Macaca fascicularis: one gene and its partners. The protein of the gene in region 1 interacts with the protein of each later gene in a pairwise test. Links are inferred from orthologs where the notes say so. Each region holds a gene or a part of one and is shown in the gene's direction. Other genes may lie near its edges. The genes, in order: CDR2, TRIM23, HDAC4, SH2D4A, C1H1orf216, CHIC2 and ENKD1.

Evidence for each region.
Region 2: the proteins of CDR2 (region 1) and TRIM23 interact in binary tests that used the Homo sapiens proteins (3 or more experiments, as listed by UniProt). The two-hybrid records come from large-scale screens. The link is inferred for Macaca fascicularis from reciprocal best matches to the Homo sapiens genes CDR2 and TRIM23.
Region 3: the proteins of CDR2 (region 1) and HDAC4 interact in binary tests that used the Homo sapiens proteins (3 or more experiments, as listed by UniProt). The two-hybrid records come from large-scale screens. The link is inferred for Macaca fascicularis from reciprocal best matches to the Homo sapiens genes CDR2 and HDAC4.
Region 4: the proteins of CDR2 (region 1) and SH2D4A interact in binary tests that used the Homo sapiens proteins (3 or more experiments, as listed by UniProt). The two-hybrid records come from large-scale screens. The link is inferred for Macaca fascicularis from reciprocal best matches to the Homo sapiens genes CDR2 and SH2D4A.
Region 5: the proteins of CDR2 (region 1) and C1H1orf216 interact in binary tests that used the Homo sapiens proteins (3 or more experiments, as listed by UniProt). The two-hybrid records come from large-scale screens. The link is inferred for Macaca fascicularis from reciprocal best matches to the Homo sapiens genes CDR2 and C1orf216.
Region 6: the proteins of CDR2 (region 1) and CHIC2 interact in binary tests that used the Homo sapiens proteins (3 or more experiments, as listed by UniProt). The link is inferred for Macaca fascicularis from reciprocal best matches to the Homo sapiens genes CDR2 and CHIC2.
Region 7: the proteins of CDR2 (region 1) and ENKD1 interact in binary tests that used the Homo sapiens proteins (3 or more experiments, as listed by UniProt). The two-hybrid records come from large-scale screens. The link is inferred for Macaca fascicularis from reciprocal best matches to the Homo sapiens genes CDR2 and ENKD1.

Annotation. Positions count from the first base shown.
Region 1 is NC_088394.1:21,335,398-21,339,414, reverse strand, and holds part of CDR2 (cerebellar degeneration-related protein 2), read left to right. Parts: intron 1-382; coding exon 383-531; intron 532-788; coding exon 789-953; intron 954-2,381; coding exon 2,382-3,240; 3' UTR 3,241-4,017.
Region 2 is NC_088380.1:71,318,864-71,323,461, reverse strand, and holds the start of TRIM23 (E3 ubiquitin-protein ligase TRIM23), read left to right. Parts: upstream 1-1,421; 5' UTR 1,422-1,467; coding exon 1,468-1,548; intron 1,549-4,598. Other genes in the region: TRAPPC13 (trafficking protein particle complex subunit 13), read right to left, coding at 646-691.
Region 3 is NC_088386.1:135,022,088-135,026,104, reverse strand, and holds part of HDAC4 (histone deacetylase 4), read left to right. Parts: intron 1-766; coding exon 767-1,024; intron 1,025-4,017. UniProt on the Homo sapiens protein: Responsible for the deacetylation of lysine residues on the N-terminal part of the core histones (H2A, H2B, H3 and H4).
Region 4 is NC_088382.1:22,425,910-22,429,926, forward strand, and holds part of SH2D4A (SH2 domain-containing protein 4A), read left to right. Parts: intron 1-3,197; coding exon 3,198-3,309; intron 3,310-4,017. UniProt on the Homo sapiens protein: Inhibits estrogen-induced cell proliferation by competing with PLCG for binding to ESR1, blocking the effect of estrogen on PLCG and repressing estrogen-induced proliferation. May play a role in T-cell development and function.
Region 5 is NC_088375.1:199,233,645-199,238,123, forward strand, and holds the start of C1H1orf216 (UPF0500 protein C1orf216 homolog), read left to right. Parts: upstream 1-1,406; 5' UTR 1,407-1,584; intron 1,585-3,568; 5' UTR 3,569-3,743; intron 3,744-3,917; 5' UTR 3,918-3,922; coding exon 3,923-4,479.
Region 6 is NC_088379.1:79,881,002-79,885,018, forward strand, and holds part of CHIC2 (cysteine-rich hydrophobic domain-containing protein 2), read left to right. Parts: intron 1-422; coding exon 423-479; intron 480-645; coding exon 646-705; intron 706-3,443; exon of another isoform or gene 3,444-4,017.
Region 7 is NC_088394.1:63,699,626-63,704,175, reverse strand, and holds the start of ENKD1 (enkurin domain-containing protein 1), read left to right. Parts: upstream 1-1,457; 5' UTR 1,458-1,765; coding exon 1,766-1,850; intron 1,851-1,940; coding exon 1,941-2,135; intron 2,136-3,311; coding exon 3,312-3,484; intron 3,485-4,550. Other genes in the region: C20H16orf86 (uncharacterized protein C16orf86 homolog), read right to left, coding at 1-33, 129-705. UniProt on the Homo sapiens protein: Microtubule-binding protein which regulates microtubule organization and stability. Promotes the stability of astral microtubules and facilitates the proper orientation of the mitotic spindle.

The DNA of each region.
Region 1 (4,017 bases):
TGTTGGAACAGCAGGTATCTTTTTTTGTTTGTTTCTTTGTTTGAGATGGAGTTTCACTCTTGTTGCCCAGGCTGGAGTGCAATGGCGCCATCTCAGCTCATTGCAACCTCTGTCTCCCGGGTTCAAGTAATTTTCCTGCTTCAGCCTCCCAAGTAGCTGGGATTACAGGCATGTGTCACCACACCTGCCTAATTTTTGTATTTTTAGTAGAGACGGGATTTCACCATGTTGGTCAGGCTGGTCTCGAATTCCTGACCTCAGGTGAGCCGTATGTCTCGGCCTCCCAAAGTGCTGGGATTACAGGCATGAGCCACCATGGCCAGCCAAGGAACAGCAGGTATCTTATCTGTTTGTGTCACCTGGTCCTGATCTTCTCTTACAGTATCTGACCAAGCAAGTGGAGCTTCTACGGCAGATGAACGAACAACATGCAAAGGTTTATGAACAATTAGATGTCACAGCAAGGGAACTGGAAGAAACAAATCAAAAACTAGTTGCTGACAGCAAGGCCTCACAGCAAAAGATTCTGAGGTAAATTTTCTAGAATCTGACAAGGAAGGCCTAGAGGGAAGTTCTTTAGTATAAACTAGAATAGAACATGGCTGCAGTGGGTTTAGGTCAATATGGGATAAAGTTTAATTTAATTCTTTCTGGAGAATGGAGATTAAATAGATGTCCTTTCCAATTAAGAAAGCCCAATGTGAGTGGCTCGCATCTAATCTCTCCTCACCGCTTTTGCCCTTGATTCAGTATGACAAGCAGCAATGGCTTCTGTCTGTTCCTTACAGCCTGACTGAAACGATTGAATGCCTGCAAACCAACATTGATCACCTGCAGAGCCAAGTGGAGGAGCTGAAGTCATCTGGCCGAGGGAGAAGGAGCCAGGGGAAGTGTGACCAGGAGAAACCGGCACCCAGCTTTGCATGTCTGAAGGAGCTGTATGATCTCCGCCAGTAAGAGCCTACCTGTCTGTGGAGTTACAGCAGGGACTGTCTCATGTCATTGGCACATTCTGAATTCCAGTAGATTGAAAGTACCATTTTAAGAAATGTCACTTAGCTATTAAGCTACCATTGGTTTTGAACAAAATCACTTAAACATAGAAATTACACAGTTCTTATATATTGGTAATTCTTATTTTGAAAGTCTTAGAGCACTTATTTCAGGGCTTTTAATGTGTTAAATCATAGTTTAAGATGAATGACTTCTGATAGACTATAGAAATATTGGTAAAACAAAAATTCAAGCAAACAAGATTTTTTGCTTAAAGAAGTACCTTTATAATTTAGAGTTACAAGTCTGAATCTTTAAGAAGTATTTGTGGAACACTTGTTGTATGGCAAGCTCTATGCCAGACCTGAGGGCTGGTGAGCAGAATAGAGTTCCTATCCCTGTGAGCTTTCAGTCTAACAGAACGGCAGATAAGCAAATAAAAACACAAATAAATAGTCAAGCAAGGTGCCTTGGACTGAGCAGGAGAAATCAGGTGGTTCATTTGGTGGGTCTTTGGCTGCACATCAGATCACCTGTGGAGTTTTTCAAAATGCAGATACCAACACATTCCCTCAGGCCTAAATCAGAATTTCTGGGTGTGGGTAAAAAGCTGCCCAGGCAATTCTGATGAACATTCCTGGTTAAACACCACAGCAACAGTAATTTGCTGTAGTGATTCAATCGTAATTATGTATTATGAATCATTTGGAGAGCCTTTAGAAACCCTCAGGCCGGGTAGCAGACCAACTAGGTTAGAATCTGTGGGTTGGGACCCAGGCACCAGTACTTTTTAAGGTTTCCCTTGTGAGGTCATTGGCATACTGCCAGTCTTTGGGAATAGATGTTCTTTAGTACTTTCAACATTAAAAAAAGATTCATCGCAAAAACTGAGTTTGCTTTCATGTGTTTATTTACCAGCCTCACACAGTTCCATTTTAGCCACTGCTCCAGTGTGGCTAAAAATCAGTCACTGTCGGCCGGGTGCAGTGGCTCACACCTGTAAATCCCAGCACTTTGGGAGGCCGAGGCAGGAGGATCACCTGAGGTTGGGAGACCAACCAGCCTAACCAACATGGAGAAATCCCGTCTCTACTAAAAATACAAAATTAGCCAGGCATGGTGGCGCATGCCTAAAATCCCACCTACTTGGGAGGCTGAGGCAGGAGAATTGCTTAAACCCGGGAGGCTGAGGTTGCAACGAGCTGAGATCGCTCCACTGCACTCCAGCCTGGCGACAGAGTGAGACTCCATCTCAAAAAAAAAAGAAAAAAAAATCAGTCACTGTCACAGCTCCTCAAATTTATTTAGTTGAAAAAAAATCACCAGTCTTCCTCACTTCATTCTCAGTGGACCTGTGTAATACATTCTTTCAATATTTTTTTCCCTAGACACTTCGTGTATGATCATGTGTTCGCTGAAAAGATCACTTCCTTGCAAAGTCAGCCAAGCCCTGATGAAGAGGAAAATGAGCACTTGAAAAAAACGGTGACAATGTTGCAGGCCCAGCTGAGCCTGGAGCGGCAGAAGCGGGTGACTATGGAGGAGGAATATGGGCTGGTTTTAAAGGAGAACAGTGAACTGGAGCAGCAGCTGGGGGCCACAGGTGCCTACCGAGCACGGGCGCTGGAACTAGAGGCTGAGGTGGCAGAGATGCGACAGATGTTGCAGTCAGAGCATCCATTTGTGAATGGGGTTGAGAAGCTGGTGCCAGACTCTCTGTTTGTTCCTTTCAAAGAACCCAGCCAGAGCCTGCTGGAAGAGATGTTCCTGACTGTGCCGGAACCACACAGAAAGCCTCTCAAGCGCAGCAGCAGTGAGACGATCCTCAGCAGCTTGGCAGGGAGTGACATCGTGAAGGGCCATGAGGAGACCTGCATCAGGAGGGCCAAGGCTGTGAAACAGAGGGGCATCTCCCTTCTGCACGAAGTGGACACACAGTACAGTGCCCTGAAGGTGAAGTATGAAGAGCTGCTGAAGAAGTGCCAACAGGAACAGGACTCCCTGTCACACAAGGCTGTACAGACCTCCAGGGCTCCGGCCAAGGACCTGACTGGAGTGAACGCCCAGTCTGAGCCTGTTGCCAGCGGCTGGGAACTGGCCTCTGTCAACCCAGAGCCCGTCAGTTCCCCTACAACACCTCCAGAATACAAAGCGTTGTTTAAGGAGATCTTTAGTTGCATCAAGAAAACTAAGCAGGAAATAGATGAACAGAGAACAAAATACCGATCACTCTCCTCTCATTCTTAATTGAACCTCTAGCTCTACTACTAATTTGCCTATTGCCTATCACCTCTCTCATTCAGACAAGTGTTTGTAGACTTGGAAGCCTGATGTTGCTTGTGACATTTGCCTCATTGCTTTGCTTATTTAGCAAATGCATACAACGAGGAAAGGAGGTGGCTACTGGTATCAGTTCTCTGATCCACTTCCATTTAAGCTCCCCAGGAAATCCCATGACAAACTGGCCTCTGGCTGGCGCACTGATTAGACTTCAATTCCTGAAAAGGACCAGTGGAGGGAAGAGCTATACTACTGGAGAAGTAGGCCTGGAGTTACTACAGTATGGGGGAGAAGGGCCGAGTTGGCACAAAGCTAAGGCAGTTCCTATTGCTTCCTTGCGCAACTTCTCAAAACGATGTAAAGTCAGAGGGCTGTCAAACTCAAGTATCTTTTGCAAACACTGAATACTGTGAATTCATTAAGAAGAATGTTCAAGAGAAAGCAGGGGTCTGATCCAAAAGAAATGTCATTAACAAATACTCCAAATGCTTGAGTTTTGTTGTATCTGAACTAGTTGAACTGTGACTGACAGGTAATCCTAATATATCCAAATCAAACTGAATACCAAATTGAGATGGCAAATTTTTGTTTGATCCAAGTTAGCTTGTTAGCATACGCCCTAGAGGGCCTCCGCCCCTACATTCTAATGTTTTTATTGAAAGCTCTAGCCTTTAGGATACGTGAACATGTAAATCTTTCATCACTTTCTCAAATTCACACTAAAGGGGAAAGATCAAACCTCTT
Region 2 (4,598 bases), on another chromosome or scaffold:
AAAAATAAAAATTGTCCTAAAAAAAAAAAAGCCTGCTGTTTTTTCCTAAATAAAGATCTAATTAAATCACCAAACTTACTCAAAATGGCTGTGTACAAAAAATGAGAGTTGACATTAGATCTCGGACATATTTCCCACATACACAGTGCTTTGAAGTAAACTGCAGTTTGTTTTTAATAAATCTAAGTTATATGTTGTATTACTATATATTGCTAAATTCTTTGCACTACTGTTATGCAATACTAATTTTACAGGGGAAACTGAAGCCTGATAACTTCGTCAGTGCCACAGGAAGAAACGAGAGACAGAAGGAAAAAGCACTTTACATGCCCGCTGTAATTCATCTTAGTTCACAGAGATCTCCACGGTAGGAGCGGGACGTCAGCTTCTGCCGCTAAAATCTCGTGACTGAAGCAGCATAGATCAGAGAGTGATTTACCAGGTATCTATTTCATTCTAGAAAGGAGCCCGTAAACCTAAAAAGCATCCAGGCGAAATCGCTTCCTCCCGCCTGGCGCCAAAGGACAGAGCAGGAGGGCGAGCACTGACAGTGTTTAAGAAGGCTGAGGCCTACATGGCAAAGGCTTCGATAAATAGGGAAGGGAAGAAAACAGAAAACGGGTACTCAGGTTCGCAAAAGTTTACCTTTCAGCGCCAGCAGGTGCTCCTGTTTAGGGGGATTCACTTCCATTTTGACCAGCACTTTTGACCCACGGCCTACGGGGGCTGGACAGGTTCAACTTGGCCCGGAAGGAAACGGAAAACCTCGCGTTTGGCAAGACCAGAAGTCAAACGCACTTTCAACTTCTCTCCGGTGGTGGTACCTTAAATTTTCTTACTGTGTTCTTTACAGACTGGCTTCTTCTCACCAAGTCCATTTCTTTTATCTTAGAAACGTATGCATAAAACACTTTGTTTTCCATCTGCTATCGCACATCGCGACTTCAGGAAAAGAAACCACCCCTCGGTTACAATACGCCGCCTCCCAAAGGCCAACTTTGCCGGAGTTTAAAAAAAATAAATAAATAAAAGAGAGAGTGGCATGCTGGGATTTGTAGTTTATACGAAAATCGCGTTGCATGCAGGGAGATGCCCGTATCCCTTCACCGCCCTCAGTTTACACCCTGGTTGGTTTGCGATTCGAGAGGAAAAATCATTAAAGGAGCTGGAGTTTCACCCCAAAACTTTAATTCTGTTTTATCCCTTCTTTTTTTTTTTTTTCCTTGTCTTTCCTCCAGCAGTTGCAGACTACGTAATGAAAAATAACAAAAGTGCCCATGCGCGAGGCTGTGCAACGAAGTACCCCACGACTGCAGGGAGGAGGAGTAAGAGTCGGCTAAGCGGCGCCCTGTGTCCTACTGCGCCTGTGCGCCGGTGGCGTGCGCAGAGGCCTCTGGGTAGGTGGCTTAACCCCGCCTCTCAGTTGAGGACTCTGAAGGCTGCATCTGTGGCGCTACTCCTACGAGGATGGCTACTCTGGTTGTAAACAAGCTTGGAGCGGGAGTAGACAGTGGCCGGCAGGGCAGCCGGGGGACAGCTGTAGTGAAGGTGAGGGACCTTGCGTGCTCTGTTCTCCACCATTGGCCTCCCTTCGGTTCATCCTGGAGACCTGGCTGCATCGCCACGGCCCAGGCTTCGATGGGTGGGATGCGCGGCCTCTGGGCCCCTTTTGGCTTTACAAGTCTTGTCCTCTCCTCTGCATCCTTTCTCTCCTATGGCCTGAAGTTGCCTGGTCTTCTGCTCATGACATGTCATAATCGGAACATTTATGAAAAGGAGCTTGCGGTCCAGTGACCTAGACCGGTCTTTTCTCCAGGTCCTCTGCTTTTAGTTAAACTCAACAGGCATTAGTTAGCTTAGTATTATAAATTGGCCCATCGTCATCGTAACTACGTACTACGTTAGGTGTTTTAGCTCGTTAATATCTACTTATGAAGTAGATGTTAATTCCCATTTTACAGGGAGGAAATCCAGGTTTAGGTAAACAGTGTGTGGCAGAGCCCCGGGTTGACCGGCTTTAAAGCCTATGCTTTTCCCTATTGTACTGCGTCTGTAATGAGACATCTGTTACTGGCTGAGCTGCCCTCTCTCCTGTTAGTAGTACAGTCTATTAACACTTTTCAGAAGTCTGCAACATCGTCATAGCTGGGCGTTAACGATAGAGTTAATGAATTTCCTTATGCTTGAAGTTTGAGATTCTACCATGTATAAATGCTCCAGAATGAATTTGCTAAAAAATCATTTGAAATATGTGGCAGTCATTTTTCCCTTCCACACTTGTGCACGGAGAGATCTGGAGGGGAGAACTGATCTCATTGGTTTTATAGAGTAACCTTCGGGAGCATCTCTAATCTAAGAGATTGAAAATTCTCATTCCTGGCTGCATATTAGGATCACTGAAGATTTTTAGTACACTACTGATGCACTCCTCCTCCAGTTCTGATGAGGTTGACAACAACAGTAGATTTTAGGAATGCCCATAAGTTATTTTAATATGTAACCAGGGTTAAGAATTACCGAACAGGATAATATATGAAGTTCTTTTAACGTCTTGAAAAATAGACACCTACGATTATTCAGTTAATGTTGGTTTTGTATGACAGCAAGTGAGACATTTCTTCCCACAATTTAGTATCAGTCAGTATTGGTGGTCGTTGATTCAGATGACCTTTAGGTAGTAATGAAGTTATTCTACAGGTGCACAGCATATCTGATAACGCAAAAGAGCCCTCGTTATTAGGCATGTTGTGTGATTGAGATTTTATTTATTGAATTGTGCTTTTGCTAAGTAGAGAATACTTGCAGAGTACTTTGTGAATTAACTTGAAGTTTAAGTTTTATTTCATAATTGGAAGGGGTATCATTGCAGTATCTATTTTGTTGTTACGCTGTTTGCCTTATAGTCTCAAAAGTGTACCAAAGCCTGATGTAACTCCAGTTTGTTACAGCACAGAATTTGATACATCAGAGGCTCACCTTGTTCATTTTCATCTTAACATGTAAAATGTTCCTGAACTGTGCAATAAAATAGTCCTTTCTGACAAAATCTTCATGCCATAATTTGTAGTAGCTATAGGGGTATAAACTGAAAAAAACCTTACTGTCATTTGTATAGATGAAAGCAATAAGTATTTATTGGAAGGTAAAAATTGAAGTATATAATGCTAATACTGTGTAAAATGGCCTTGTGCTTGTGAACAAGTTGATAATTACATGGTTTTTATCATTAGAGAAACCAGTAACATAAAAATCTGATATGGCTAGGCGCGGTGGCACACGTCTGTAAAGCACAAAGTGCCTGGGAAGCACTTTGGGAGGCCGAAGTGGGCTGATCACTTGAGGTCAGGAGTTCGAGACTAGCCTGGCCAGCATGGCCAAACCCTGTCTCTACTAATAATACAAAAAGTAGCCAGGCATTGTGGTGTGGGCCTGTTAATCCCAGTTACTCAGGAGGCTGATCAGGAGAATCACTTGAACCCAGGAGGGGGAGGTTGCAGTGAGCCGAGATTGTGCTACTACATTCCAGCCTGGGTGACAGAGTGAGACTCCATCTGAAAAATAAAAAATAAAAAATCTGATATTTTGAAATAACTGACATGTAAAAATGTATCACAGTTTCTTTTGCTTAGTGAGTCTTCTTAGGCCTTTTAAAATTTAGTCTGAGACTGGGCACAGTGGCTCACACCTTTAATCTCACACTTTGGGAGGCTAAGGTGGGAGGATTGCTTGAGCCCTGGAGTTTGAGACCAGCCTTGGCAACATAGTGAGACCCAACCTCTACAAATAATAATTAAAAAAATTAGCCAGGCATGGTGGCACATGCCTGTGGTACCAGCTACTTGGGAGTCTGAGGCAGGAGGATTGCTTGAGCTCGGGAGGTCGAGGCTGCAGTGAACCATGCTCAGGCCACTACATTCCAGCCTGGCTGACCCTTTTTTTTTGAGAAAGAGTGAGACCCTTTCTCAAAAAAAAGAAAGAAAAAAAAAATATATATATATATAATCTGATTGATTACAGTTTGATTTACATGTAATAAGTTTGAAGCTGTTTTGGCATTTTGTGAAATGTAAAATTAAGAGCTTTTTCCTATCTAGGGCTTTTTGCTGTTAACCACAATTCCTATTCATAGATACTGAGGAAATATTTTCTTGCTGTATTATTTACCAAGTTGATGCAAAATAGTCTAGTAACTTTATTTTCGGACCTGTGTTTGGTTTGCTAATCAATGGAATTTTATTAGTGCTTTTTGAAAAATACGGTAACAGCATAAGGAAATTCTTTTAAATCTTGTACAGTGGTGGGATCAGAGATACAGGATTGAAATGAACTAAACAAAATTTTAATATGGTTCTTTGGAGTTTATAAACAAATTTAATTTATTAGAGTTTCAATACAGCATTTATAAAATGTTGCATTTATTTTATATCAAATTCTATTGTGATTTTTTTTTTTTTTGAGTCGGAGTCTTGCTCTGTCGCCTAGGCTGGAGTGCAGTGGCACAATCTCGGCTCACTGCAAGCTCCACCTCCCAGGTTCATGCCATTCTCCTGCCTCAGCCTCCCAAGTAGCTGGGACTATAGGCGCCCACCACCGTGCCC
Region 3 (4,017 bases), on another chromosome or scaffold:
GGAGCTCATGGCACGTCAGTGGGATCCCACAGGAAGGGAGGTCACAGAGTGTCCATGGTATCCCAGGAGGGAGGCCGTGGCATCCCTGGGATTCAGCAGGAGAGGAGGTCATGGCACGTCAATGGGATCCCATAAGAAGGGAGGTCACGGAGCGTCCATAGTATTCCAGGAGGGAGGCCATGACATCCCTAGGATTCAGCAGGAAGGGAGGTCCTGGAGTGTTCCCAGGATCCGGCAGGAGGGAGGTCATGGCACATCGGTGGGACCCTGCAGGAGGGGAGGCCGTGGCGTGTCAGTGGGCTCAGGCAGTGAGCATTGTGGACGTCGATGTCTTCCGCTGGGTGGGTGGTGGCTGTTTCTCTCAGCAGTTGTGGCTATGAGGTCAGCATTGGCCTCTCCTTCACACTCAGGCTCCCCTCTGCAGACTCGGTTGACACCTGCGGCTTCTTTTCTGTTTCTCAGTGCCTGACGCAGAAGAGGTGCTTAGTAAACCCCAAATGTTAGTCAGCCTCCTTCCCTGGGCCAGGTCACCTTGACCCCGGGCTGGGGTCCTGATGGGCATTATTTTCTCAGCACCGTGGATAGCGCCCAAGTGCCTGTTGTGCGGGAAGATGAAGGCGCCTGCTGGCCTGTGGCAGGGCGATAAGATGCCTTGAGTCCCTGATTGTCTGCCCCAGAGGTGGGTGGTTGGCAGCATCCCTCCTCCTGTCTGATGAGCTCAGAGGCCCCAGCTCTCTGTGCTTCATGTATTTCCTCTGCCTTGCAGATCATCCCGAAACCAAGCGAGCCGGCCCGGCAGCCGGAGAGTCACCCAGAGGAGACGGAGGAGGAGCTCCGTGAGCACCAGGCTCTGCTGGACGAGCCCTACCTGGACCGGCTGCCGGCGCAGAAGGAGGCGCACGCACCAGCTGGCGTGCAGGTGAAGCAGGAGCCCATTGAGAGCGATGACGAAGAGGCAGAGCCCCCTCGGGAGGTGGAGCCGGGCCAGCGCCAGCCCAGTGAGCAGGAGCTGCTCTTCAGACAGGTGACTACAGGCAGGGAGGGCACCAGCAGGCTGGCACGCACAGCCACCCTCGGTCCCCGGGCGGCATCTTCTGTGTGGTGATCACGGGAGCTGCAGGGCATCCTTGTGCTGTCGCTGTCCAGTGTCTCACCCGTCTTGTCCTGGCCAGTGAGGGAGGTTGATGTGGCTTCTGTTTTGTCCCAGCTGTTCCTAGGGATTCGAGATGTTTGCCCACTGCGGGTGGTTACGTAACTGCTTTCCAGCCATGCACAGGCCCCAGAGAATGGGTTTCCTTCCTGTTTGTAGGCTGTAAATGATCACAGCATCCACGTGTTAGTGAGGTACAGCATGCTTTTTAAAGAAGTGAAGGAAATAGAGGTATTAATTGATCAAAAAGACAGGCAGGGTCTGATCAGAAGTCAAGACCTTTTGTGGCCCAGTGGTGCTAATGAGCAGCCCTGCAGATCCAGACAAGACGGGTACGATCGTGGCACCCAGAGCCAGTAAGGCTTCAGGGCACTGACACCCAGTAACCAAATGCACAGGAGCCTGATGAAGAAGGCCAGTGAATGATTGGTTAATTTCCAGTGAAACATAAAACTTCTGAGTCAACAGAAATACCTGAGGCATTTGGGCAGCCAGCTGGAGCCCCGTATCTGCAGCCAGAGTGTCCTCAGAAAGGTGGCTTCCTCCCTATAGGCAGGAAGCGAGCCTGAGGAACCACAGCTGTAGGATTTGATTCTGTCCTCCAGCAGCAGAGCTGCTGCCTCGGCTGCAGGAGCCACTGGATCATTCCCTCCCTTGTCTCTGGACTCCATGCTGGCCGTGCCACTGAGCACCTCCCCAGCTTCCTGACTGCCAGCTGTGTGGCCAGAGCTGCATCTCTACCCCCAGCAGCACCCTGGAAGCCAGGAGCAGGACGCCCTGCAGTAAACTGTTCCCTTTAATTCTCAGCTGCAGGTCTTGGCACCGAATGAATCAGTGTGGGCCCTTGTATCTGGAGCACCTAGACCCAAGCCTGCCGCACGGGGGGTCAGGTCTCAGTGGTCTCCAGAGGCTTCTGGGCCAGGAGCCCTTCTCTACCAAGCTTCCCCCGGCGGCGGGCATTGGGTGCTATTTCTCCTTTTTGTTCAGAGGGCGGCCTCTCTCTAATTTCTGGGCCGTCTTAATTAGCACCCCGGGCACTAAACACTACACAGCCCAGCAGCCTGGCAAAGACAGAGAGAGAAAGCCCCGGGCCTCTCTGGCGCACACACGGTGCTTCGTGGCGAACACTCATCCACAGGTCCCGTCTGACAGGCCCGGGTTTGGGGCCTCTTCCTGTGGTCGGGCCTTGAAAGTCGATGAAGGTCTGAAATTCAGTGTGCTGTTATTATGCGGATAAGAAGTGGGAAACTATTTACATTAATAATTTTTAGGACTAGTTTCTCATAGATCGGCGTTCACTTTGAAAAAAGAGGCTTGTTATATTCCAAGCGTGAGATGATGATTAGAAACAATTTCTGTTCTCTCTGGAGAGTAATAGGCAGAACTCCTTATCAGGGAAACTTGGTAGTACACGGAGCAATTTGCCGAGGTAAACCTAAGGCGGGACACCTTCCAGCCGGTGTCCGGGAGGATTGCTTATTAACCGCTTAACCACGTGGGGCCCACAGCAATCCCAGCTGAATTTGGTTAGCCGCAGACTGGGGGCCTGTGGGTGCTGGCTCCTACTCCAGCTCCTGCTCCAGCTCCTCCGCCTGTCTCGGGGCTCCCCTCTTCTCTGCTCCCTCCTGGCTCTGATTCCTTTTTTTTTTTCTTTTTTTGAGACGTAGTCTCACTCTGTTGCCCAGGCTAGAGTGCAGTGGTGCCATCTTGGCTCACTGCAGCCTCCACCTTCTGGGTTCAAGTGATTCTTCCCCCTCAGCCTCCCGAGTAGCTGGGACTACAGGCACCTGCCATCATGCCTGGCTAATTTTTTTTTTTGGTAAAGACAAGGTTTCACCATTTTGGCCAGGCTGGTCTCGAACTCCTTACTTCAGGTGATCTACCCGCCTCGGCCTCCCAAAGTGCTGGGATTACAGGCGTGAGCCACCTGGCCTGATTCCTAAAGACAAGACAGATCAGAGCCTGGCCAGGCAGCTCTGGCTTCCCCCAGTGCTGGCAGCACAGGGCTGGACTCCGCCTCTCATACAGGAGCTGAGATGTAGGTACCTGGTTTTCCACGTTCACAGGATTTGTTCATCAAAACTAAGACAGGATTGGCGCAGAGCTCCCAGCGAGGAGGCGCCCGGCTTTCTTTGTGCCTCGGCTTGGGTGGCAGGTCGCCGTGCTCTCCCTCAGCTGCTGTCTGGGGAGAGGCTAGGCAGCTGTGGCCTCATCTCTGCCCTGCTTCCTCCACTCCACTCTGCCTCGTATGAGGGTGTGCACCTCAGCCTGTTCCCAGAATCCCTTGGGGTGTCCCAGGCCCCTGACTAAGTGGCCTCCCTACACAGAGCCCAGCCCAGCCCCATCTCATCAGAGAGGCACATCCCCACCAGCAGGCCTGCTCCAGGCTCCAAGGGTCCTGGGTGCCTGGAAGCTGATGGGCTGTTTCTGCTTTTAGCCTGCATGAGGATGTGTGGAATGTGAGACCAGGGAGGGGAGCGGCTGCAAATGAAGCCGAGCTAGCACTTCCAAGTCTGAGAATCAAGGGTGCTTTCTCACCCAAGTTTAGTGTGCAGATTCAGTGCTGTTGGTCAAAACTAAGACCCACAAACCCAACAAGGGGGCGAGGCTTCATGCCCACCCACTGTACGTGTGTGGTGTGGCAGAGTGAGTGCTTTGGTCCCCGTGTGTGGTGTGGCAGAGTGGGTGCTCTGGTCCCCACATCTGCATGGCCTTCGCGTATCTCCCAGTGGAACCAGCGAGGGCCAGGCTGCCGCCCCAGCAAGAGCCTCTCTCCACACCTGCCAGGCCCCACTCCCCTGCACCTGATCCAGGCTGCTCCTGGCTCAGTACCTCCTCAGAGAAGCCCTCGTTGATACCCCATACTG
Region 4 (4,017 bases), on another chromosome or scaffold:
AGCCCAGGGACCTGTTTTCCTGTGGACCATGTCATGAATTCCATGATTCCTCTGCAGGGACATGCATGAACTTGCTTTTTTGAGACTTTAAGAAATCAGGACGAAGTTGTGGAACTGTAGTCCTTGTATGCATACTGCTGATATAATATGTACTTCTTTCTAAAATAGCAGCAATAGGCGATCTAAAGGACATTTTCATTAATTCTGCTTAGATCTCACTATGTCATTTTAAATGGGGACAGCTGAGGAAGACAAAGGATCGTATATTGATCCAAGCAACATTTATGGAGTATCTACTATACACTAAGCACTATTATGGGAGTTGGAGACACATTTTATGAAAAAATTAGATAAAATTCCTGCCCTCAGGGAGCTTATATTCTTCATGGGAGAGAGAGATGATAAACATATCTGTGAGGTCAGGTGATCATAAGCGCTGCAGAGGAAAATAAAGCAGTACCAGGGAACTGAGGAATCCTGGGAGGATGGAATTAGGATGGGACAGGTAGTCAGAGAAGGCCACTCTGGGAAGGCAGTATTGGAGCAGAGACCTGAAGGAAAGAGGGAAGGAGCAATGTGGATGTCTAAGCCATGTGGACGTCTCTTCCAGACAGAGGGAACAGCAAGTCGAAGACACAGAGGCAGGAACTCACTTGGCATGGTCAGGAAAGGGCTGATCATTTGAGAGAATGAATGAGCCACCTTGCTTCTCTGTAGAACAACGGTGATAAAACAGAGCCATCCTGCTTTGGAGGCGTTGTGAGGCTCTGATGAAGGAATTGGTAGCGAGTCACTCTAAGTGCTTCCATCAACAGGCTGGATAAGAGGCTTTCTGTATGGGCCCGGCGTGGCCTCATTTTCTGGTCCTGTTAGCTGAGCACATTTTCATAGCTCACATCACACATCTGGGTCTCCACACCTTCCACCCTGGGTATCTGGATTAGCATCCAGCCTTGGCCCCTCTACCTCTCCACTCCAAGCCATCACCTGGATTTCCCCATGCCTGGCTCAGAGTCCTGAGTCCTGGACCAGCATGCTTCCAGCAAAACACTGCTGAAAAGGAAATGATGGTCTTCTGAATAGAGAAAGTAAAGCATTACAGATTTTGCTAAAAGTCAAATTATTTGAGGGACTCAGGACAAGTTCCTTACGTTTTCTGGCTTTCTTGAATAAATACGGTGGTCAGGGCCGTATATAGATGAGTTAACAGCAGATCTCATCTGCTATTACTCTGTGAAACTCATGAATTTTTCTTCTTTTCCACTGTGCCTGTACATAATTACATGCAGATTAAAGGAGTAGATTTATTAAATACAGCACTGTTAGACATTTGAGTAACATCAACCAAGTACTACATCTGTTACTAATATTTTTTCTTAGTGGAATCATGTTCCAAACTTCTTGCTGATCCTCAGCAACAATATCTGTGATGATCATAGCTTGATGTTTTCACTATATGTTTCCTAATCATTTAAAAATAAACACGTATGCATGTGGAAGGATGAACAAAGCTCCACTTTTAAGCTTCTTCTGTTTAAGCTTAGAAATTGCTAGCAGCACATTTATGTATCTTGGGCTTGCAGACAGCTTCAATCAAAGGATGGCAAATCTTAACAGTCCTTTCAAACATCAAAGCTGTCCTTTGGATTTTAAAATGCTGGCAAATGAAAGGAGCTAGCTCTAGGCAGGAAAACAACGTAAGGAAAAAAATAAAAACAGTAAATGCACAGAGGTTTAGTTACATCTGCAGTGAAGCACAATTTATGAATGATGATTACTTAAACTGCGATTTATGACTGCCCACAGCGATCAGAAACATGTTTCACAACATTAACGTTTATATTTTACGTTGTGGTGACATTAGAGCAAGGAAGTCTTTATATTTCTATGGGAAAGCACAAAAGAAAAAAACCTGTCACTCGTGATAGAGAGGTGGGCACAGGCAGCCGTTCCTGGCCGTTTCAGTTTGTTTTATTACTTAGCTAACCAAGGCTTTTATTAGTTCTCCAAGTTGTAAATTCAGTCTTCTTGTGAGCACTCAGAAGCTTGTGTCCAAATAAACAGAGTACTTTTCAGGTCTAAGTGATTTGGTTTGTTCATTTCTCTTTCGTTTAAAATGATTTTCCTTGAATGCTCTTAATGCCGGAAAACAGTACACTTAAAAATGGTTAAGGTGCTATACTTTTGTTATATGGAATTTTACTGCAATTTTTTAAAAAACCTAATTCGCCTTTTAAAGGAATATTCACATTTTAAAAATATTTTTCCCTTTCTCAAAAGATGCTTTTGAAAAATATTTTTCTGGTTTTTTTTTTTTTTTGAAACAAAAAAATACATGTTCTGGCAGGGTGTGGTGGCTCATGCCTGTAATCCCAGCACTTTGGGAGGCTGAAGTGGTGGATCACTTGAGGTGAGAAGTTTGCGACCAGCCTGGCCAACGTGGTGAAACTCCACCTCTTCAAAACATACAAAAATTACCCAAGTGTGGTGGCACGTGCCTGTAATCCCAGCTACTCGGGAGGCTGAGGCAGGAGAATCACTTGAACCTGGGAGGGGGAGGTTACAGTGAGCCGAGATTGTACCACTATACTGGGCGATGGAGTGAGACTCCGTCTTTAAAAAATAATAATATATATTTCTTTTAAACCACGTAAAATCATGTAGTAAGTACCACATTCTGGGACACATGATTCGAGGGGAGAGATTCAGCTGAGCTGAGATTGCTCTGGAAATGTGCATTTCTTCCATGGGGACTGTCAGCTACTATAAAGTAGGTTGACGCTGGCTCTATGTAATAGTGTGTTTACATGCTTCTTCAGGGAGTCAATTTGAAACAGCTAAGTACTGTGAGGAAAAGGAATATTTTTTCTTATTATATGTTATACACTGTGCCAGGGACTTCTTAAGTTATCTAATCCTCAGTATAACCCTGAGAAATATTTTCTTCTCATCTTTCTTATGGGGAAACAGCCCAAGAGAGGTTCAGTTGTTGCTCCTGGAGTTACACACTAGCTAGCAATGGTCAATCCAGCTTCAGGTCTTACTGACTCCAAAGTCCACACTTGATCCTCCCTAGTGGGCCAGAGAGTTAGTTAGAAATCAGCTGTGCCGGGTACCCCCGTCCTTCAGGAAACTGCTGGATTTGCTCACCAAGGTTCGTTTTCGTTGGTTTGGTTTTTGTTTTTGTTTTTAAACAGAAGAAAGAATCCATGAAGAAAAAACAAGAAGAAGAAATAAATCAAATAGACGAAGAGAGAACGAAGCAGATTTGTAAGAACTGGAAAGAAGACTCGGAATGGCAGGCATCTCGTGAGTACCCAGAGGTCTCCGTAGCACCTTCCAGGCTCTCAGCTGATTCTCTCACTTAATAATGTGATCAATCTAGAAAGCACTTAATGTGGGTTGTTGAGAGAGATCTTCACAGTAAGTGACCACTCAAATGTTATTACTAACTTATTACTCAAATGCTTACAAGTTACTTTTGAACAGTGGACTGGTTCTCCATTTCTGTATCACCAAAATTATGATGTAATTTATCAAATAGCGTGATATATAGCTATGGAAAATAGGTTTTGGAAGAGTGTTTAATGATCTTAGACTATGTTTACATGTCATTAGCTTGGGGAAGAAAAAACACCATGAAATAGAGTGAAAAGCTTCGCTATTTAGAAATGTCTAAATATCTGAAGGAAAAGAACTGGAAGGTTATAATAACATGTAAACATTAGTTTTCTTGGAGAGGTGAGATTCAAGATTATTTATTTGAATGCTTTTCTGATAATTTAATACTGTGTTTTGGATTTTTTTCCCCTAAGTTTTTGATAGTGAATACATTTTAACTTTGTAATCAGAAGCACACAGGATTACCAGGCCAGATGTGTTAGCATCCAGCTTATGCCTGTGACCCAGCCCTGACTCCTATTTGAGTTAGCAGAGCTGGAGAGAAGGCTCATAGGGGAAGAATAAGTCCATACAACTGAAGGCAGAGGAGAGGGTGCTCCAGAGTGCTAGAAGAAT
Region 5 (4,479 bases), on another chromosome or scaffold:
TAGCTGGAGGAGTGTGCAAAGTTTGAATTACTTCTGCCTTCTTCTTATTTCCTTTTCCCTCTTAAAATAGTCATCATAATCATAAAAATTTATTTTCCATTTTCCCTGTTTTTGCATATAGGATTTCTTGGTGTGATTCAATTTGCCAATTAGTATCTAGGTTGCAGAATGGTGACTTGCAATCAAGTTGAAACTGGAAGAGGGTACCTTATATATTAGGGTCAGCAATTACTAAACTCTGTTCTCTTTTATTCCAAACAGGGTCCCCAACTTCACATTTCCCCAGGGTGCAAAAGAGGGGGATCAAGCTTCAGTAGAGTGGAGCTCTGAGAAGAATTCACTAGAGTTTGGAAGCCAGGACCCTTTTTATAACCTTGTTCCTCCTCACCTGGGCAAAAGCACTAGTGCCCACTGCACAGGTGTCATGGACGGGCTCTGTGTCCTGTGGAGAGCCCCCATCCCAGGTACAGGACATCAGCCCTGGGACCTGTCCCAGGCTGGATCTTCTTCTTTCTCTCTCTCTTTTTTTTTTTGAGACAGAGTCCCACTCTGTTGCCCAGGCTGGAGTGTAGTGGTACAGTCTTGGCTCACTGCAACCTCCACCTCCCAGGTTCAAGCGATTCTCCTGCCTCAGCCTCCCGAGTACCTGGGATTACAGGCGCCCGCCACCACGCCCAGCTAATTTTCGTATTTTAGTAGAGACGGTGTTTCACCATGTTGGCCAGGCTGGTCTCGAACTCCTGACCTCAGGTGATCCGCCGGCCTCGGCCTTCCAAAGTGCTGGGATTACAGGCGTGAGCCACCGCGCCCGGTCTCAGTGACTTTAGTCAAGTAGCACAAAAAGAAATATATAATTCCAAATTGTGATAAATGCTATGAAGAAAAGGAACGTGCCCTGACATACAAGGGGGAACGAATGCGATCTAGGGAGTCAGAGATTTCTCCGAGGAGAGAGCTGAAATAGGAGTAAATCGAGAGGGGGAAGAGACTGCTAGACCGAGGGAACCGTGCGTGCCAAAGCCGCGTGGCAGAAAGGGGCGTGCGGGAGGGTAGCTGCGGAGAGGGAGGGTAGAGGACAAAGCCGGAGAGGCAGACGGAGGGCCGGACGCGCAGAGCCCCGCGGCTGCTGCCTTAGGGGTTGTCCCGGCTGTGGGGAAGTCATAGAGGAGTTTAAAGCCGGAAGGTGGTGACTAATCAGATTTCACTTGAAAATGGCACGGTGTCTGCAGTGAGGTGAACTGATGGGAAGGGCCCAGCGAACGCCAATAGGAGAGAGCACCGGACCTGAAAGGCCTGGTTCAACGCGGCCCCGCGCGGGGGCGAGGCGGTTCCGGCGCAGAGCCTAGCGCGCGGCTCCGCGGAAAACCCAACCGGCCCACGTGGGCCGGGCCGCTCCGCCCCGCCGCGCAGACGCCGCCTGACTCCGCAGTCCGGACCTGGGGCTGGGCGCGCTGCCCGGGAGCCCCGCACCCACCCTTGGACCGCGGAGACGCCCAGGCCGAGGAACCCCCAGCCCAGGGACTAGACACCACCAGGGCCGGGCGGAGCCATAGCCAGACGCGCCGGATCGGGCGCCTCTAGGCCGTGAGTCGGAGGCGGGGGGCTTGGGGCCCAGCCGCGGGAAGCGGGGAGTCACAGCGGCCTCCGAGGAGACTAGGGAAGGATTGGTCTCTGCCTCCTGGGGTGGTCTCCCACTCCCGCAAGGCCAGGAAAGGAGGCTGCCTCCTATTTGGGCGGAGACCTAGTCCTGGGGTGTCGGGGTTCCTATTTTACTATTTCTGAGAACCCTGTGATCCCTAGCGCCACCCCTACCCCATCCCAGCTTCCTTCATGGCCCCATCCAAGTATAGGAAAAATTAAAAATTGGGGCGAGGGGAGATCTGTAGGCACCTTCCCACAAGCCTTGCTTAGAGGGCGATTACAAAGGAACTGTTCCTACACCCTTCTCCCCAGGACTTCTGCCCGTTGCTGGGGGTGGGGAGGGTCCATGCCACCTATGGTGCGCCTCCCAGTGCCGGCTCCACTTACAATATCCTTCCTCTTCATGCTCTTAAATTGTTCTAATCCCAGTGCTGTTTGGTCAGTAGAATTCCTTTGTCAATTCAAATCCTAATTTTGGTTAGAAGCAGGTTATGGAGGAGAGAAGAGTGGTGTGGTATGCCCGCCCTCCAGGGCCTCAGGATGGAGCAAGCTAGGGACAGGGACACAAGATAGTGGCCGTGTTCCAGAGGCATTGGGAGGGAAGTGGGCAGGCTCAGAAGAAAAGCTTGTCACTGGGGAAGGCTGGGCTCCCTGGCTGGGGTAGGAGAGGGAACTGAACCCAGCTCTTCCAGCCCGGGGGAGTCGGGAGTAGCTTCCTGAGCATGGAAATTCACTGCAGTCTCTTCTCCCATTCACTCGCTTAGCAAGTACCAGTATGCACAGACAGCCTGGTTCCGGGCTCTATGCTGGCTGACTCTGGGGAATATGATGGAGGATATATAGGGGAGGTCCAAGCTAGATTACAAACTGCTATTACAAGATCATTGCCACAAACCAAAACTGCCAGTTAAATAGACATTCACTGATCGTCGACCATGTATGCCAGGGACAGACACAAAGTTGGATAAGACAGTGTGTACCCAGGGCAGTGGAGACCCAGAGGAAGGCATAACTAACCGTGCTTGTTTATGTAATATTGATTGCGGCAGTATCAAGACAGCTTCAGAGACATGGGTACATGGAGATATGGGGATATTACAGCTGATTTTGAAGTACAAAAAGGAATTTGCTGGGTGGAGAAGGGAGGAGCTTTGAGGGGAGGGGAGAGGAAGGATATTATAGGCCAAAGGAATACTGTAAGAAGGACAATGGTGTGTTTTGAGATCTCTGGGCAGTTTGCTATGATGGGAGGGACAGAGTGGCAAAAGGCAGGTGTGGAAGGGTGAGCAGAGGCTAGATCAAACAGGGCCTTGTAGGCCACATAGAGGTTTAGCAGGAGTTCAGGGAGGGCATTCTGAGTGGTGACAAGTGAAATTTACATTTGTAACTGGGGGCAGAGAGACCAGTGAAAAGGCCGAGGCAATAATCCAGGTCAGAAATGGCCTGGAAGAGGAAGAATGGTCAGAATGTGGTTATCAATGAGATGGGAGAAGGAAGGAGAGTGAGGAGCCCAGGATGCTCCTAGCCTTCTGGATGGAGGGTGGAGCCATCTTGCTGAGGATACTGAAGGAGAGCTTGTTTGGTTATATAGAATTTTGGTGGTGGGGGCGGGGGGTGGAGAGGGATGAAGTCTCACTCTGTCACCCAGGCTGGAGTGTGGTGGCACAATCTCAGTTCACTACAACCTCTGCCTCCTGGGTTCAAGCGCTTCCCAAATAGCTGGGATTACAGGTGCCTGTCACCACGCCTGGCTAATTTTTGTATTTTTAGTAGAGATGGGGTTTCACCATGTTGGCCAGTCTAGTCTCGAACTTCTGACCTCAGGTGATCTGCCTGCCTCGGCCTCCCAAAGTGCTGTGATTACAGGCATGAGCCACCGCACCCAGACTGGTTATGTAGAATTTGAGGAGCCTATGATTGGTTGCAGGGTTGGATAGCAGTTAGATCTGGGCTGAAGACAGATCTGAGAGTCATCAGCATATGATGGACCTTGAAGCTACAGCAGAGAATGAGGTCCTCTGGAGAGAAATGTGCAAAATCAGAAGACAGCCTGGCTCTGAGGACTGAGGAAAAACCCTCTGCAGGAGACTGAGAATGAACAGGTAGACAGGGAGGACGAAAACCGTGAGGGGAAGTGTCACCAGAGTCAAGAGAAAGGGCTTGACAGGGAGTGGTCGGGCTCTTGCTTTCAGCCTTGTCCCTGCAGCTAAGTTGCCCTGACTTCAGGCACCCCACCCTGTCCTACTGTGACTCAGTCTCCTGCTTTCCCTTTACAGACCAGATGTTCGCCATCCAGCCAGGGCTAGCTGAGGGGGGCCAATTCCTGGGGGACCCACCTCCTGGAGTATGTCAGCCCGAGCTCCAACCAGACAACAACTCCAACTTCATGGCAAGTGCCAAGGATGCTAATGAGAATTGGCATGGGATGCCAGGCAGAGTGGAACCTATCCTGAGGAGGAGCTCCTCTGAGTCGCCCTCTGACAACCAGGCCTTCCAGGCCCCTGGATCCCCTGAGGAAGGGGTGCGCAGCCCCCCAGAGGGGGCAGAGATTCCCGGGGCTGAGCCTGAGAAGATGGGTGGTCCTGGCACAGTCTGCTCCCCTCTGGAGGACAATGGCTATGCCAGCAGTTCCTTGAGTATCAACAGCCCTAGCAGCAGTCCTGAGCCTGCCTGTGGGACCCCGCGAGGCCTTGGCCCTCCCGATCCCCTTCTGCCCTCAGTGGCCCAGGCTGTGCAGCACTTACAAGCCCAGGAGCGCTACAAAGAGCAGGAGAAAGAAAAGCACCACGTGCACTTGGTGATGTACCGTCGCCTGGCACTGCTCCAGTGGATCCGGGG
Region 6 (4,017 bases), on another chromosome or scaffold:
CAATTTTTTGTTTTGGAACTTACTGAAAGGCCATTTGCATTTTGTTAACTAATATTTACTTTTGTTGTAAAGTATGTATTAAGGAGCTTCTGTTACTATTTAAGTATTGGAAACATATTTTTGAAAAAAGTGGGGATTTAATTTTATTTGGCAGATGACATTAGCTTTTAAACCTTGATAGTTTTAAATCAGAGGCTAGTAAAAAAAGATTCATATGATAGAAATAAAGCCATATCTTTTTAAAGAAAGAGAACTCTTTGTGTTCAGGTTACCATTTAGTGCTTAGAAAATGGATAGTGATGCACACCACACTATACTCAGTCACTGTCTTACACCTCTTCCCTTTTCACAGAAAAAGCAGCTGCAAAACAAAGTTTTCTAAAACCAGTCAAGAGTAAACTTTTTTCTCATTTGTCTTCCAGACACGAAGATCGATTGAGAAGTTATTAGAATGGGAAAACAATAGGTTATACCACAAGGTGAGTACCACAGGGAGCAGCTTCGTACTGTTGGGGTCTGAATTGCACAGTATGGAAACAGATGCTTTTGTTGAACTAAAAATATGAAAGGTGGACAAATGGGTTAGTCTGTGTGCTGCAATAAAATAGAGCTCATTTTTCTTCTTTTACTCTCCTACTTGTCTAGCTGTGCTTGCATTGGAGACTGAGCAAAAGGAAATGTGAAACGAATAACATGATGGAATATGTAAGTTAAAGGGCTGTTTTGTGAGTTTCTCTATTAAATGATCATTTATTTTGCTTCTGATCTTATTCTTTCCATGATTATTAATCAGCAAAGGTGTCAGGAGCTTAATCTCCTGAGTGCAAGGATTTTCTACGGTTCACAGATGCATGGTTTCATGTGCAAGACTGATTTATAAAGTTATGAATGACTTGAAAACAAGGCTTCACTGTGTTCTGAAAAATAATAAATTAATTGCCAAGATAAAATAGCCTGAACATGTGTTGATGGAGTGTGAAATTTTAGATGCTGTATAAAGAATAACCACAACTTTGGTTACGCAGCAAGTCAGATATGGCTTTTTTATATAATGCTAATCAAGTTTCCAAGTATGGAAGAAAACCTTTCAGCCAAGCCATTGGAGCTTAAGAAACCTTTAGCCTTTATAGATTTTAACTGTCCGTACCTCAGTGCCCTTTAAAGAATCTGTTTTAAAGTGTTATTAGAATATCGCTTTGTAAAAATTAAAAGTAAGCAGGAAATGAGATGTTGATCATCTTGTGTTTACTTGTTAAAAAATATCTAATTTGGCATATATATACAATGAATTTTGTACTTACTCAGCATGGGATTTAATTTACTGACTCCATGATTTACTTGAGCAGTTTTTCTCCTTTTGAAAATTTCAGAATATTCTAGAAAATTAAGAATTTTAATTTTCTTTTGAGCTTGAGTACTGTACTTTAAATATGGCCAGGTTGTTACTTTAGAAGAAAAAGATCTAAGGAAAAATTAATTGTTGAAAGTAAAACTCAGAGCCTTTGTGAAGTATCTGTTATAACATTTCTGAGGAATTTTGCCTATTCTTTAAAACAATATAGCCATCATAGATGTGTGTGTGTGTATGTGTAAAATATTGATTAAAAGAGTGTTTTGTTGTAAATTATCATAAAATCATTTTTCTCTGTTAGCATTTTCCTGTTCTTTCATTATCACACAGTCAAATCCCATTTCTAGCCTTGAACATAAAAAATATTTTTAAAATGTCTTAGACTAGCTTTATTCAATGAACCAAATAATGTAGATTTTATCTTTATTATGTCAACATGTTAATTTATGATGATGAGAAAGACACCTGATACTTCTTTATAATCGTAACACATTTGAGTAACCCATTTTGAGGTGAGAATACTAGTCTTGTATTTTCATCTTAGATAGTAAGAGGGTTTATGTACATATTTTGGGGAGAAGGATGGATAGGAGATGTAAAGAATTTGGTGAAAAAAAAGTTACTACATTTGTAACACAAACACTAAGCTTAAAACTAAGTTATTAATTTTTTGTGCATTTCTAAATTTACTTTGGAAAGGAAAACATAAAAGTTGTCCCAATGCTATGATTTCCAGATAGAACTGTATGACTATAATTTATTCATAAAGTAATTTAACCTTCCAAAACATTCTGAACTATATGCTTTGTTTGTAAAATAAGTTTCCTTGAATTTTTAGATAATTAAGCACTTCTACTAAAGCCATTATATTATTTTCACTCCATCATAGAAGATATCCAGAAGAGTAGTAAAGATAAAATAAATATTTAAATTGCTAGGAAAAAGCTGGGTGTAGTGGGCATGCCAATAGTCTAGCTGGGGAGGCTGAGGCAGCAGGATCACTTGAGTCCAGGAGTACAAAGACAGTCTGGATAACATAGCAATACCTGCCTCTCTTTAAAAAAAAAAAAAAAAAAAAAAAAAAATATATATATATATATATATATATATGCATGCTGGGGAAAAATGTGTTTTGCTAGATTTTCTTAGAGTATATATATTTTTGATAGTTGAAAGTGAGAATAATGTAGCTTAAAAAATTCATTAAAATGAATTTTAAAAGTTAAACTAGCAAATAAAATTCATTTTATCTAATGAATTTGGGCCTTTTTAACCATTTGTCCCTCTTTCCCTCAACTTTTCTTTAACTTAAAGAAATTTCATTTTGTTAAAAGAAAATAATTATCTTTGATTAAATTTGAACATTGGAAATACTAAAAAAAAATATATATATATATACACACACACCACCTTGGTGCTAACTTTTCTTTGTTCAGATATGGTAGAGACAGATGATTTAGAATAAATGAGACAAGTGGCTTCTGAAGGAAAAATTTGTAGGATGTATTATTTAAAAACTAATAGTTCAAATGTAGGCAAAGATAGCCTTTATTTTATGTTATGTATTAATAGTATATATTGTAAAGTGTGGGTATGCCCACAACTGGGGACTAAAATTATAAAGACTGATTGAGGACATATTTGAAATACAAAAGAATTTGTTTAATGCTGACTCTTAAGTAGTTTAAACATTTAATTGTCAAATTTTAAAGCTGCAAAGAATCTTGTCATCTAGTTCGATGCCTTTGTTTTATAGATAGGGAAATGTAGCCCAAATGAAGAAGCTAGTTGGGAGAAAATATTTTAACAGGGAGCTAGTGAATATTTTGTAGGCAAATCACAGGTCAGGAGAGTGGCAAATGTGACAGCTAAGGCTTAGTGCAGGATACCTAGAGTAAGACAGGAATATTTTTGAGCCAGGTATAGAAGTGTGTCTTCTTTATTGAGGCAGATCAAAACCCAGGAGAACTGAAAAGTGAAAATGAAGATTCCTGGCCCAGACAGCTAATCTGTAGAAGTATTGAAATCTAGAGGTCATATCAAGCAAGACACAGTTTCTGAAAAAGAACGATGAGTCACTAGACTTAGAAACTTTTTTTTTTTTTTTTTAAGGAACTGATTATTTAATGTTTATTGTAATCCTACTATCAATCTGCCTCCTAACTCCAGTCTCAACAGGCTTTAAATCCAAAGGCTTAAATACATTTGCCAACATGTCAAAAAGAACCTTTATTACTTTTTTTGATTGCCACTTATGCTCTCTTGCCAGATGCCTTTGGAGCAGGTGCTTTCTGGGCTGGAGCTTTTTGACCCTTCTGAGCTTTTGGAGCAGGCGCAGCCTTCTGGCCTGTGGCTTTCTGGGCAGGAACCTTCTGGGCTGGAGCCTTTTTACTCGCGGTGGTCATCTTTTTTGCTGGAACTGTAGCAGCAGCAGCAGCAGCAGCAGTACCCTTAGTACCAGGTGCTTTTTTGGGAGAAGCTTTCAGGAGAGCTGCCTTTTGAAGCTTCTTAACTTCATTCTTGATTATTCTGTTCCTCATTTTCTTTGCCTTCATAACTTTAAAACGATCAAAATCTGTCATCTTGGCTTTCCTTTCTCTGGCTTCAATCTTTTTGGCCCATCGTGTGGCTGCCCATTTTGTATTGATGTCTGCCTTCTGCCACGC
Region 7 (4,550 bases), about 42 Mb from region 1:
ACTGGTACAGGGGCCGCAGGCGCTGGGCCTTTCCTGCAAAGACCCAGGGCAGGGCAGAGGCTAGAGCGCCAGGTTGTGCCATGTCAGGCCCCACAGGGAGAAGGAACAGCCCAGGGACTGCCACTCACGCTCCAGCCCCAATGTCTCTAAGGGTGCAGACACCGTGCTGGCCACAGCGTGGAGCACGGGAGCCCCCAGGCTCTTGCGCTTCTTGGCTTTTTTGTGCTGTTTGGCAGATGGTGAGGGCTCACTCTGGCTGCCCTCTGGCTCCTCCTCCTGCAGCGGCAGCCTGGGTGGCAGCTCAGCTTCAGCCTTGGGATGGGCACGAAGGCCCGGGAGGCTGAGGGACCTGAGCCAGGGACAAGAGACCTGACGCAGGGAATACCCCAGCCTGCCCACCGCCCCAGGACTCGACGCCTGCCCCTTTCCTGGTCGATGAGGCCCCAGGCCCAAGAGGCTTAGAGGCCAGTGAGCCCAGTGCCCTACAAACCCTGAAGCTCCCACTCTCCTGCTGCTCCCTACATGGGGGCTCTGGAAGAACGGGAGAGGAGAGTGATGGTAGTGACAGGGGACAAGAATCCTTCCTGCAGGAGTGCAGGAATCAGGAATGCTACTGGGGTGTGTGCCCCAACCCCGGGCCTGCAGCTCCTTCCCCTCCTCCTCCCCCAGAGCCCCCTCACTTGACAGGCTTTCTCTTTGGACCATGACGGGGCCTCACAATGGAGACCACGGGCCTGGGGCCTCTCTCCTCTAGCGCCCCGGCTTCCGGCTTGGGCCTCTCCTCCCCCAGCTTGGGTCCTTCCTCCTGGAGCTCCAGCTCCGAAGCTGCGCCTGCTGGGCGCTGGTCTTCACCCTGGGTTCCGCGGGCCTCATGGGCTGGCACCAGGAAATGTTCTTCCGCCACTGGACACTAGAGGTGACACACAGGCCATCGGTCACCATGGTCGGGCAAAGGACATAGGGATCCGTCACTGAACACCTAACATTAGACACCGAAACGGGAATAAGGACACCAGCCTGTGCCCCTCCCCGCCTGGAGGGCCCAGCCTGGCAGTTAGCGGGTCGGGGCGCTCAGAGTTCCGCCTCTCAGAGTGCTGCGGCCCCCTGTTTGAAGGTTAAACAGCCTGACGGTCACCTCGGAGGTCTCAGCGCTGCCGGGGTCCTCCGCGAGCTGTCCCTGCCCCACGACCGTAGCCTCCTGGACCCCCGGCCGCCTCTCCGCCCCTGCCGAGGCCATGGCTGCGCAGGCTCAGTGCATCCTCCACAGCTGCTTGGGGAGGGCCCCGAGCGGCTGGATGGTGGCCCCGCGCTGACCCTGGAGACGGGCCAGCAAGCGAGGGCAGAGCTGGGAAGCGAAACCCGCGACCGCGGAGCCCACACTCAGCGGAAACTACAAGCCCCAGGACGCTTTGCGCCAGGGTCAGTGGGCCCTGACCCCGGGGACGGAAGCCACGGTTGCCCGGCAACAACAACTCCCGTCGGGTGGCAGCGGCTGGCGGCAAAACCTCTCGAGTGAGCCCCTGCCCAAGTGCCGCGGGGGAGAGGCCGCGAGCGGGACCGAGAAGTGGGCTGGGGGGAGAGGTCGCGGAGGCGGCGAGCGAGGCCGGGGCCCAGGCAGGGACCGGCAGGGGCCCGGGAGTGACGGGCACGCCAGGGTCAGGGTCCCAGGCGAGGGAGGAGGCCCGGGGTTGGGGAAGGGGGCCCGGGGAGGGAGGTGCACAGCCCTGCAGGCCTCGGGGCACCGTTGCTGGGCGGTGCCGGCGGCATGTGCGAGGGCCCGTCCCGCATCTCGGGGCCCATCCCCCCAGACCCGACGCTCTGCCCTGACTACTACCGGCGGCCGGCCTCGGGTGAGTCCGCGGGCTTGGCGGTGGTGCTAGGCTCAGGGGTCGGCCCCGACTCCACCTGAGTCCTGGACTCCGCCCGGCTCCGCCCCACAGCTCAAGGGCGCCTCGAGGGAAACGCGCTGAAGCTGGACTTGCTGACCTCGGACCGGGCCCTGGACGCCACCGCTCCCTGTGGCCCCCGCATCGGTCCCGGTGCCCGAGAGATCCTGGAGCGCGGCCGGCGCGGCGTCGGGGACGTGCTGTTGCAACTCGAGGGGATCTCCCTAGGTCCTGGGGCCTCTCTTAAGAGTAAGTCCCAGGAATGGAAGAAGGGGCAGAGAGGCAATGCGGGGTGGAAAGAGATCAAAAGCAGCTGCTCTTTCCGCCCTGACCTGGGCCCAGGCTTTGCATCTCTTGAGTCTCAGTTTCCCCAACTATAAAAGGGGGAGAAATGTGCTACCTTCTCGAAGGAAGTGAACTGAATAAGGTAGTTCCCACGAAGCCCTAGCTCTGCTTCGTGCATTTGTTTGTTTGTTTGTTTGTTTGTTTGTTTATTTATTTTTATTTTTTGAGACGGAGTCTCGCTCTGTCGCCCAGGCTGGAGTGCAGTGGCCGGATCTCAGCTCACTGCAAGCTCCGCCTCCCGGGTTCACGCCATTCTCCTGCCTCAGCCTCCCGAGTAGCTGGGACTACAGGCGCCCGCCACCATGCCCAGCTAAGTTTTTGTATTTTTAGTAGAGACGGGGTTTCACCGTGTTAGCTAGGATGGTCTCGATCTCCTGACCTCGTGATCCGCCCGTTTCGGCCTCCCAAAGTGCTGGGATTAGAGGCTTGAGCCACTGCGCCCAGCCTGCTCGTGCATTTATTACCCGTCAAATTTGTTTGTTGAGTGCCCACTGTGTGCCAGGCCATATAGGTGCTAGAACACAGGGTTGAAGATAAGCATGAGCCATCATTGAGTCAAGGTGGGAGACAAAGAACAGGAGATGAATGTCATATATGAGATGATCTATGGTATACTTCACTATAATAATGGAGAAAATCACCCGGACGCAGTGGCTCACTCCTGGAATCCCAGCACTTTGGGAGGTCCAGGCAGGCGGATCACTTGAGCCCAGGAGATGGAAACCAGCCTGGCCAACATGGTGAAACCCCATCTCTACAAAAAATACAAAAATTAGCCTGGCGTGGTGGCGTGTGTCTGTAATCCCAGCTACTCAGCAGGCTGAAGTGGGAGGATCCCTTGAGCGGGGGAGGTCAAGGCTGCAGTGAGCTGTGATCGTGCCGCTGTACTCCAGCCTGGGTGACAGAGCGAGACACTGTCTCAAATAGTAATAATAATAATGGAGACAGTCATCCTGAAATACTACATGAGGAAGGGAACTCTTTCTGTAGGAGGCAGGGGGCAGGCCTGTGTGTGAACTAGTGGAAGTTGGATTGTGTGGGCCCTATGTAGGGCAGAGACTGGTGGCATCTTTTCTCCAGGGAAGGACCCTAAAGACCATGAGAAGGAGAACCTGAGGCGGATCAGGGAGATTCAGAAGCGCTTCAGAGAACAGGAGCGCAGCCGAGAGCATGGACAGCCCAGGCCCCTGAAAGCTCTGTGGCGCTCACCCAAGTACGATAAGGTGGAGTCCCAGGTCAAGGCCCAGCTCCAGGTACCTGCTCCAGGGAGCCAGAAGTATTATCCTTTTTGTTGGCCAACAGGCAGCTATACCCTGATCCGAGTTCTGGGGAGGGAGGGAACTAAGAGACCCTGGCTCTGCTGCAGGGCGAGGCTGGGGGGCTTCTCAGAAGTGGTGATGGCGGGGCTGATCCTCAGGGGCAAGCAGCAGTTAGTCAAGGGGACAGCAGAGGAGAACATTCCCAAAAGATGGAAACTCACAGACCACAGGGCACGCAGCAGTGGAGATGCCAGGTGTACAGTTCACTGTGAGGAAAGAAAGGCGTGAAGTTAGGCCAAGAAGTCAGCTGGGCCCACATCAGGGGCCACAAAAGCCACTTTTCAGTCCTTATTTCTGAGGACAGTGGGAAGGGCAGGGGTATGGTGGGGGGCTCTGTCTCGGGTAGAGAGTAGCACCATCTTTCCATCCAGGGACTCAGCAGGAGGAGCAGGAGTGAGAGGAAAGGCAAGGTCACACAAATGTGTCTGGGCTGAAGCATCTGTGGGGCTCCCAGGGGGTGGGAGTGTGTCCAGGAAGCAGATGGAAATTCAGGCCTGGATCTCAGGAGTGAGACCCAGGAGTTATTGACGATCAGGTTGAGGACAACGAGACCAAGGAAGTGACCGCCTGGATTTGAGGACTTGGAGGCCAGCCGTCAGGAACGTTGCGGGGCTAGAGCCAGGAAGCTTGGCTAGGAAGGATGAAAGAGAGTGGTAGGTGGGCCAGTACTGAGGTGGAAGGAGAGATGGTTTGTTGTTTTCTTTTTTTTTTTTTTTTTTTTTTGAGACTGAGTCTGACTCTGTCGCCCAGGCTGGAGTGCAGTGGCCGGATCTCAGCTCACTGCAAGCTCTGCCTCCCGGGTTTTTTTTTTTTTACGCCATTCTCCTGCCTCAGCCTCCCGAGTAGCTGGGACCACAGGCGCCCGCCACTTCGCCCGGCTAGTTTTTTGTATTTTTTAGTAGAGATGGGGTTTCACCGTGTTAGCCAGGATGGTCTCGATCTCCTGACCTCGTGATCTGCCCGTCTCGGCCTCCCAAAGTGCTGGGATTACAGGCTTGAG